Linked DNA regions of Alligator mississippiensis. The protein of the gene in region 1 interacts with the protein of each later gene in a biochemical or structural test. Links are inferred from orthologs where the notes say so. Each region holds a gene or a part of one and is shown in the gene's direction. Other genes may lie near its edges.

The links.
Region 2: the proteins of PTGES3 (region 1) and TERT form a complex in vitro, tested with the Homo sapiens proteins (2 studies listed by BioGRID). The link is inferred for Alligator mississippiensis from reciprocal best matches to the Homo sapiens genes PTGES3 and TERT.

What each region holds. Positions count from the first base shown.
Region 1 is NC_081838.1:6,974,402-6,978,147, reverse strand, and holds the start of PTGES3 (prostaglandin E synthase 3), read left to right. Parts: upstream 1-1,161; 5' UTR 1,162-1,192; coding exon 1,193-1,503; intron 1,504-3,746. UniProt on the Homo sapiens protein: Cytosolic prostaglandin synthase that catalyzes the oxidoreduction of prostaglandin endoperoxide H2 (PGH2) to prostaglandin E2 (PGE2).
Region 2 is NC_081826.1:140,166,381-140,170,126, reverse strand, and holds the start of TERT (telomerase reverse transcriptase), read left to right. Parts: upstream 1-1,189; 5' UTR 1,190-1,374; coding exon 1,375-1,602; intron 1,603-3,570; coding exon 3,571-3,746. UniProt on the Homo sapiens protein: Telomerase is a ribonucleoprotein enzyme essential for the replication of chromosome termini in most eukaryotes. Active in progenitor and cancer cells. Inactive, or very low activity, in normal somatic cells.

The sequences.
Region 1 (3,746 bases):
GCCCACAGAACTACGAGGGCTGAAATGAGACGTGGTTGTGGTCTGACCAGCTTAATAAGAGGCGGTAGAGAAGCAAGTCCCTTATAAGAAGCCTTGGAGGAGGGGGGAGCCAGGCCGAGCGAGATGGATGTGGTGGCAACATTTGGGAAAGAAAGTGAAGTGTGAGGTGCAGGGGCAGGATGGTCCAGAGGGGAGCAACGAGGTTTGCAAGTGGCCTGGAGCACACGAGGTTGCGTTCGTAGGCCGCAGCAGAGGAATGAGAAGAGAAGAGAGCTCCCCATACCCCTTTGGTGGGGGCTTGAGGTGATTCTTGTCAGCAGGTGTTAGTCGGTTGTCTTCCTGCTGGTCCTTTGCCCTGATCGGCCTGAAGCCTGATTTGGCTGGGTGCCCACAGGGCTGGATCTGTGCACAGGCTCACTGCCTGGAAAAAGATGCAATGTTGGAGAACGCGGAGGAGGGACAATGGGCTCTGCTACGTCCTGTTCTAGAACAGAGGCGGGGGGGCTTTTCCTTTTGCTGCCTGGGAGCAAAACAAGGAGCTTGATGGGCACCCATGGGCTGTGTGGAAGACCCTGGCAGGCTGTGCTACATCCTGAGTAGTTCTACACTCAGGCTGCTTCATGGTCTGCTGAGGAAGAGCAGGCAACCGTGCAGCCCGCATGCGTCGCTATCTCTACTGGCAGCTGTCTTCGCGGTTCCTGCAGGAACGAGCCTCGCAGAGCAGCGCGTCGCTCGCAGCAGCAGCTCTTTGGCAAGGTCTCTGCAGTGGGAAGCTCCACTCCAACACAGACAGATGCAGAAGCTCAGGACAGACCAGGACCTGCAGCAGAGGAAGGTGGTTCTGAGCAACCCAGTGTCCTACGCCCAAAGCAAATAGGGAGGTTGCCCTAGCACTCCAGGCCATGTACCAGGCTGGGGCTGGAGTCCTAGCTGGTGCCCTGGTGTACCTACAGGAGACAGTTGGCCCTGGGGGCGCCAGGGAGGGGGGCAGGGGGCTATCCCCAGCTGTTGTCCCCGGGCCTGTGCACCCTTTCACCCCCTTCCATCGGCCCTGCTCCTACTTGCAAAGGCGGCAGAGCCGCCCACGCCCAGGGGACTCCATTTCCCAGCCTCCACCGCGCCCGGAAGGAGGAAGGGGGAGCGTTGCCGCGGCAACCGCGGCCGCCTCTCGTCCTTTCCCCCAGTGCCGCGCATGCGTGCCGAGAAGCTGCTAGAAAGGAGTGGAAAGAGCCGCGGGCCGTTGCGGCGCAGGCGTAGTAGGGTGGGGGGGGCGCCGGAGGCCGCGCACGCGCGAGGGGAGGCGGGGAGCGGAGGGCGGGCGCGCGGCGGGTATTTTGCTGCGTCACCAGCGCCGCGAGCCGCCGTTGCCCCAGCGCGCGCGGGGTATTGTGGGAGCCAGGCCAGGCCGAGCCCGAGCCCGAGCCCTGAGGAGCCGCCGCCGCCGCCGCGCCCTGCCCGCCCGCCCGGAGCCGGGCCCCGAGCCCCGACCGCCGCCAGCGCCATGTGAGGGGGGCCGCGCCCGCCCGGGGGGGAGAGGGGCGGCCTCAGGGGCCACGTGCGGGTGGGGGGGGGCGGCCCCACGCGGGAACGTGGCCTGTGGCGGTGGGGAGCCGGGCCTGGGCCTCCTCCCCGCGCGGGGCGGGGGCGGCCTTCGCACGAGGTCCGAGGCGGGGACGAGCGGCGCGACCTTGAGCCCCCCCCCCCACACGTGTGTGTGTGTCCCACCCCATGTAGAAAGGGGAGGGGCCGAGCCAGGCGGTTTAGGGCGGGGGGATGGGACGGATGGATGGCCGCCCCCCCACGTGCGTGGGGTGGGGGGTGTCCCCTCCCCAGAGGATGGGGAAGGCCCTACCCCCAGGAGTGGAAAGTTGCTGGTAGGCGTAGGGAGCCCCCACCGGGGTGGCTGCCCCCCCCCACACCTGAGGGTGGCTCCAGGCAGCAGCCGCCTGCCCACCCGCCTTAGCTTTTTTTACGCTGGGCTTCAAACTGATTTGAGGAGGCTGCTATGCCCAATTAGCTGTCCAAAGGGGGTGGGAGGGTTTGTTTTATTCTCCCCCCCATCGTTTCAAGTGTGGTTTCAGGCCCCCTGTTTGATGCCGCCCGGGTGGGGGGAGAAGAGTCGGCTCCAAACGCACGTGGCTCAGCACAGAAAGCGGCGCTGGTTCAGGCGCTCCCGTTGTCCAAAGGACACCGGCTCCACGCCTGAAGCAACTGGATCGTTTCCAATGAGTCGCGGCCTGTCCCCGGTGCCGCCCGGGGAGGCGTACGTGGGGTTGCTCGCGTGAAGAGCTTGCGCTCGGGCTTGGCCTGCCAGTGACGACGAGCTTCAGTCGTGTAGCGTTGTGACGAGCGTGTGGATTGAATTAGTAGCTTGTCCTGATTCTGGAGAAACTAAGGACCAAGACTCTTGCTTGCGCTGAAATGGGACATCCAAATGTCCCCGCAGTTGGTAATGCTGGTGCGGCTCCCCGGGAGCCGGCAACCTTGGGAGCGTTTGCACCGGCAAGTCTGCGGGGGCTGAAGCCGGGAGCAGTTCTCCCTGGGAACACGTGAAAGGCTCGCGGACTGCGTTTAGGACTCCCAGCATTGCCAGTGGCCAAGTCCCACCAGCGGAGAAGCACCGATTAGGCAAATTGGTGCTTGCGTCGTAGAGGCCCCTCAGCAGCAACCCGGTGTTTTGGGACTCTGACCTGGCCAGGACGGTTCTCGCCAGGCTTTGGGAGCCTTGATTAGCTGCTTCGTTATGAGTCTATTGCGGTTGCTTCTCTGACCCAAAACTGAAGTGTGCCATTCATAACGGAGCGACAGCAGGGCACGTATTAACTCTCTAGACGTACCGGTGGCAGGATCACTGAATTGGACGCTGCTCGACTTCCCTGAGTCAAGCGTTATTTCATAAGGGCAAATGTTGCCCTTAAAAACCCTGCAGTGCCTTGTGAACTGGGTGGGAGTTGAGCACATGGTGGAAATGGCTTCAGTTACTGCGTGTGATGATTTAATGGGTCTTTTTACTTGATGGTAGGAAGCAGCCTCCAATAGCAGGCATGGGACTGGCCACTCAATGTGTGGGATTGGTCAGCTTCCTTGGATTAGCTGACTCGTTCCAACTTCTGCCCCGACGATGACTCCTGTGCAACTAATCCAGCATCACTTTTTTTTTGTATTTCTCCTACCCAAATTTAATTGTAATGAGAAAGCTAGTAAAACAGGGTTGGTTTTTATCCCATCGCAACTTGATATAGTGCCATTATTGTATTATATCTGCTCACTTCCAAACTAGGGCAGGGACAAAGGCATGGCTGGTCCAAGTTGTGCTGGGAGATGGAGCAGGGAGGGAATATTTGGGGAACCAGCTAGGCCAGGCGGGCATCTCCAGATTGATAGCCTCTCCTTGAGCTGTATCTAGGAGCGAGTTCTCCAAAACGCGAGTGCCACCATTGAATCCCTGGCCTGGTTTAATATACCCCGTGCCCCGTTTCTTTGCTCCCCTTATTCTCTATACTGCTGCAGCTTCCAGTGATCTATAGACTGACGTGGAGTGCATCACAGCAGTCCAGAGCAGGCATGACACGGGCTTGGCTGTCTTGGCAGGGCTCCCATAAGTGGGGGAAACTGGTACAATCTTTATGCTAAATGCACAGTTAAAAAACAATGCCTAACTGCAGCAGCCAGCTGAACTTTCAGGAGCAGCATTCAGCATCACATCATTAAAGGTCACTTGGTAAAGTAGGAGTTCTGATGCTTGC
Region 2 (3,746 bases), on another chromosome or scaffold:
TGATTTCTTATTGGAAAGGATGTGAGAGAGAATTTGTGTTACTGATGGTCGTGATGCATAGACTAAACGAAATAAACACTTTCCAATGCAGTAATCTTTTTAATAATCTTACAGAAACCATGGAGAAACATCCAAGTGAATATTTTGAGTGTTTGTGTACTTAAAAACACTCCTGCTTAAAAATATCTCAGTGTTACAGATGTGGAAGTGAGTGCCATGAATCATGCTCTCTAAACCACTGACCATTTTTGTTGCTTTCCACTGGACTCTTTCCAATTTATCCATGTTTCAAGGTGCAGTGCAGCCAACTGGATACAGTGCTCCAATTGAGCCTGCACCAGTGCTGAAAAGAGCTGGAGTTGCTTTTCTGGATGGGCAAGGGACACTCTTGTTCGTACCTAGTATGCTATTGCCTTTTTTTGCAATAAGAGCACCTTGTGGATTGATTCAGCTTGTGCACTATAATGCACCCCTTTTTTTGTAGGACAGTACCCTAACTAGTAGATTTAGATGAGAAAGTCACCATTTAGAGCAGGTTACTGCTACTTTACCACTGGTTTTTATGCCTAGTTTCCCTAGGTTTTCATTAAAGATGGCAATAATGCAGTTCTACTACCACGGTGTATGTTTTTATTAAATGCTATCTATGGCTTATCATTTCACAACCTTGCCATTGTCCTTTAGCCCCAGTGTCTTGTAAATGTGTCAGTCAATGTAGGAGAGGCCAGGATTTCTTAGGGTGTTTGTTAGTTTTCCTTGGACCAACTGTGTAGTACAGTTGGACACATTTTCGAGAACTTTTTTCCTCAGACAAAGCACGCAAGACAAAAATTGCTTTCAAAAGCTTGCCTAACTCTACTACACAGTTGGTTCAACACAAGATATTGCCCTAAAAAATACTTGCCCCTCATAACCTGGACCATCACGGCTTAAAACATCACGGACACGATCAGTAAAAGTAGGTCTTCACTGGGGCTGAGTCAGGAAGGCTCTTCCGCCCAGGAAAACACAGATCTGTTAGTGGGAGAGGTGGACAAGTTGCAGCTGGAGGCTGGTGCAATGCGCGCAGGTAGAAGCAAGGCGGCGGATGAAGAGGAGAGGCAGCACTGCAGCGCCTCACTCCACCGGCTCTTGCTTCAGATCCAGATCTAGATCTAGACCTAGCCCTCCCGGGGCCGGGTCATCCTTCGCTGGGCGCTAGGCAAGCAGACTCGCTGGCCCCGGTGCTGAGACTGGGAGGCGGTAGCCGCCACCGCCCCCACGTGCGAGTTGCCGGGCGGGAGGCTGGAGGCGGGGCTCGCACGTGTGTCCGCCCCGCCCCCTCCCGCGGCTCGCGGAGCATGAGAGGCAGGGACCGGGTCGGCCGGGGGCAGCATGGCGGGTCGTGGGCCGCTGGCGGTGCTGCGCGGCTGCTACGCGGAGACGCTGGCGCTGGAGGCCTTCGTGCAGCGGGAGCAGGTGGCGGCCGGGGTCGGGGCCGGGGCCGGGCCGGAGCTGGTGCGGCCCGCGGACCCCGCGATCTACCGCGCCTTCGCGGAGCGCCTCGTGGTGGCGGTGCCGTGGGGCGCCCGCGCCCTGCCCCGCCCGCTCTGCTTCCGCCAGGTATCCCCGGGGGCGGGCGGGCCACGGCATGGCACGGGGGGGGAGGGCGCCGCCTGCTCGCTTCTGCCCGCTGTGGCGGCCCCGGGGCCCCTGCGCCCTCGCCCGCCCTGGGCTTGGGAGAGGAGGCGGCCGCGGCGGCGGCACCCGCGCGCGCACCGGGCCCCCGCGTCCCTGCACACGTCCTGCTCCCCTCCGCGCATCCCGCCGCTTCCTCTTCACACACGCACTTGTTCTCAGTGTCCCCCTACACATGCACACGCATTGTTCCCCCTACACACGCACGCCCATTCCCCCTGCACCCCCCCTTGTTCCTCTTGCGTACCCCCCCCGATTGTTCTCCTCACACACACTCATTGTTCCCCCCCTCACACACACAGATTGTTTCCCCCTCCACACATGAGCACACAGCAGTGGGGCAGGGGGGTGTTCCAGTCCCAGGAGGGAAGGCATTTAGGCTGGGGGAAGGGAGCTGGCACTCTCCTCTCTTTTCCCCTCCCAAGAGAAGATGCTGCCCTGAGGTGGGGGCCTGGCTTGAGGATGTCCTGAGCAAGGATCCTGGTTTTCTGTGATTTTAAAGAAAAAAATTCTCAATTTTCCGTTAAAAAAGGTACACCCAAATCCATATTTTTCTGTGATTTAAAAAAAAAAAAATGTAACACCTCTATATATATATATATATATATATATATAAATGAAACACCACTATAATATATATATATATATATATATCACAGAAAATTGTGGCTTTGGGCATACCTTTTTTTTAAACTGAAAATTGGGCATTTTTTTTTAATCTGAGAGAGCCAGGATCCCTGCTCATGAGGTCTCTCCAAGTTCAAGGCACCCCGGGGTATTGCTGCAAGAGGGCTGTCCCTGCAGTTTTAAAATGAGGTTGGACCAATGATTTTCTACCAGCGTGTGGCCGTGCCCTTGGGGTGTCTTGAGATCCTCTTGGGGGTGCCACAAGGTGTCACGCAAGGCTAGCACTATCAGGTGTGCTACACAGATTCATAAGATGTACTCGGAGATTTCAGACAGGAACCCAGAGTGTCAAAAGCGTTCTGACTGGCTCTTGTCTTTCTGAGGCCTTTGGTCTATTTATAGTAAAAAAACCCCAGTGAAAACTAGGAGCTGGTATTTTTCAAGGGGGGGGACCTCAGGTCTCTTCGGGTGGGGGAGTCATGTTTCCTGAGGGGTGCCTTGAGTCTAAAAAGGTTGAGAACCACTGCTATCAGCCGTGCAAGGGTTGGGGGAAGGGATTCCTCTTTCCCTGCTGAAGTGAGAGCACAAGGTTCCTGGTCCCTAAACTGGGATTGGGTAAAACAGAAGGTTAGGTGTCCACGGCTTATTTGCTCTGCTCTTTCTCGTGAAGTAACATTTAAAAATTGAAAAGGAACAGCCTCTGTTGTAATTGGGGCTGAATAATGCAATTCTCGTGTTGCAGAAAGAGAAGGGCGATCCCTTTCTGTTGTGTTCAGTAAACAGGAGAGGAAGATTTTGCAGACTTCTCTAAGTTGCTGCATAAACAAAGCTATTCTTCTGTTGACCTGTTTGATTCTCATGAATTGAGATAATTTAATTCATGTTTCTGGAGGGATTGGTCTGTGGTATAGTAAATGCTGTAAATGCAAATTGGTAGATCCTCTGACCTGAGGATCCTGCAGTCTAAACAGACAGGATGGACTGTGGGTGAGGAGAGAGCATTATCCCAGTTCTGTGAAGGGGGAGGGAGTAAGTGACTTGCCCAAATTCTTCATCCCTGCTTTCAGGGTACAAAAGTCTGTAACATTTGAAAATGCCTGATGCAGTGTGGCATGTGCAGGCTGATCAACTTGTTTTCAAGAGTCATAATCGACAACCAGAGTCTGGGGCTAAGCACGCATGCTTTTGAAGGTGGATTTGTGGTTTGTCCCCCCAAAAAAAGTCTTAGGCAAAGTTAACTTTTTGTTTTATTTTTTCCCTTTTCAGCTCTCTGCTATGAGTGACGTTGTCAAAAGAGTTGTTCAGAGACTTTGTGAAAAAAAGAAGAAGAATGTGCTTGCGTTTGGGTATTCCTTAGCAGATGAAAACACTTCTCATTTGCTGGTTACATCTACTGTAGGTCTATGCAACTACCTTCCTAATACTTCAACAGAAGCTCTTCA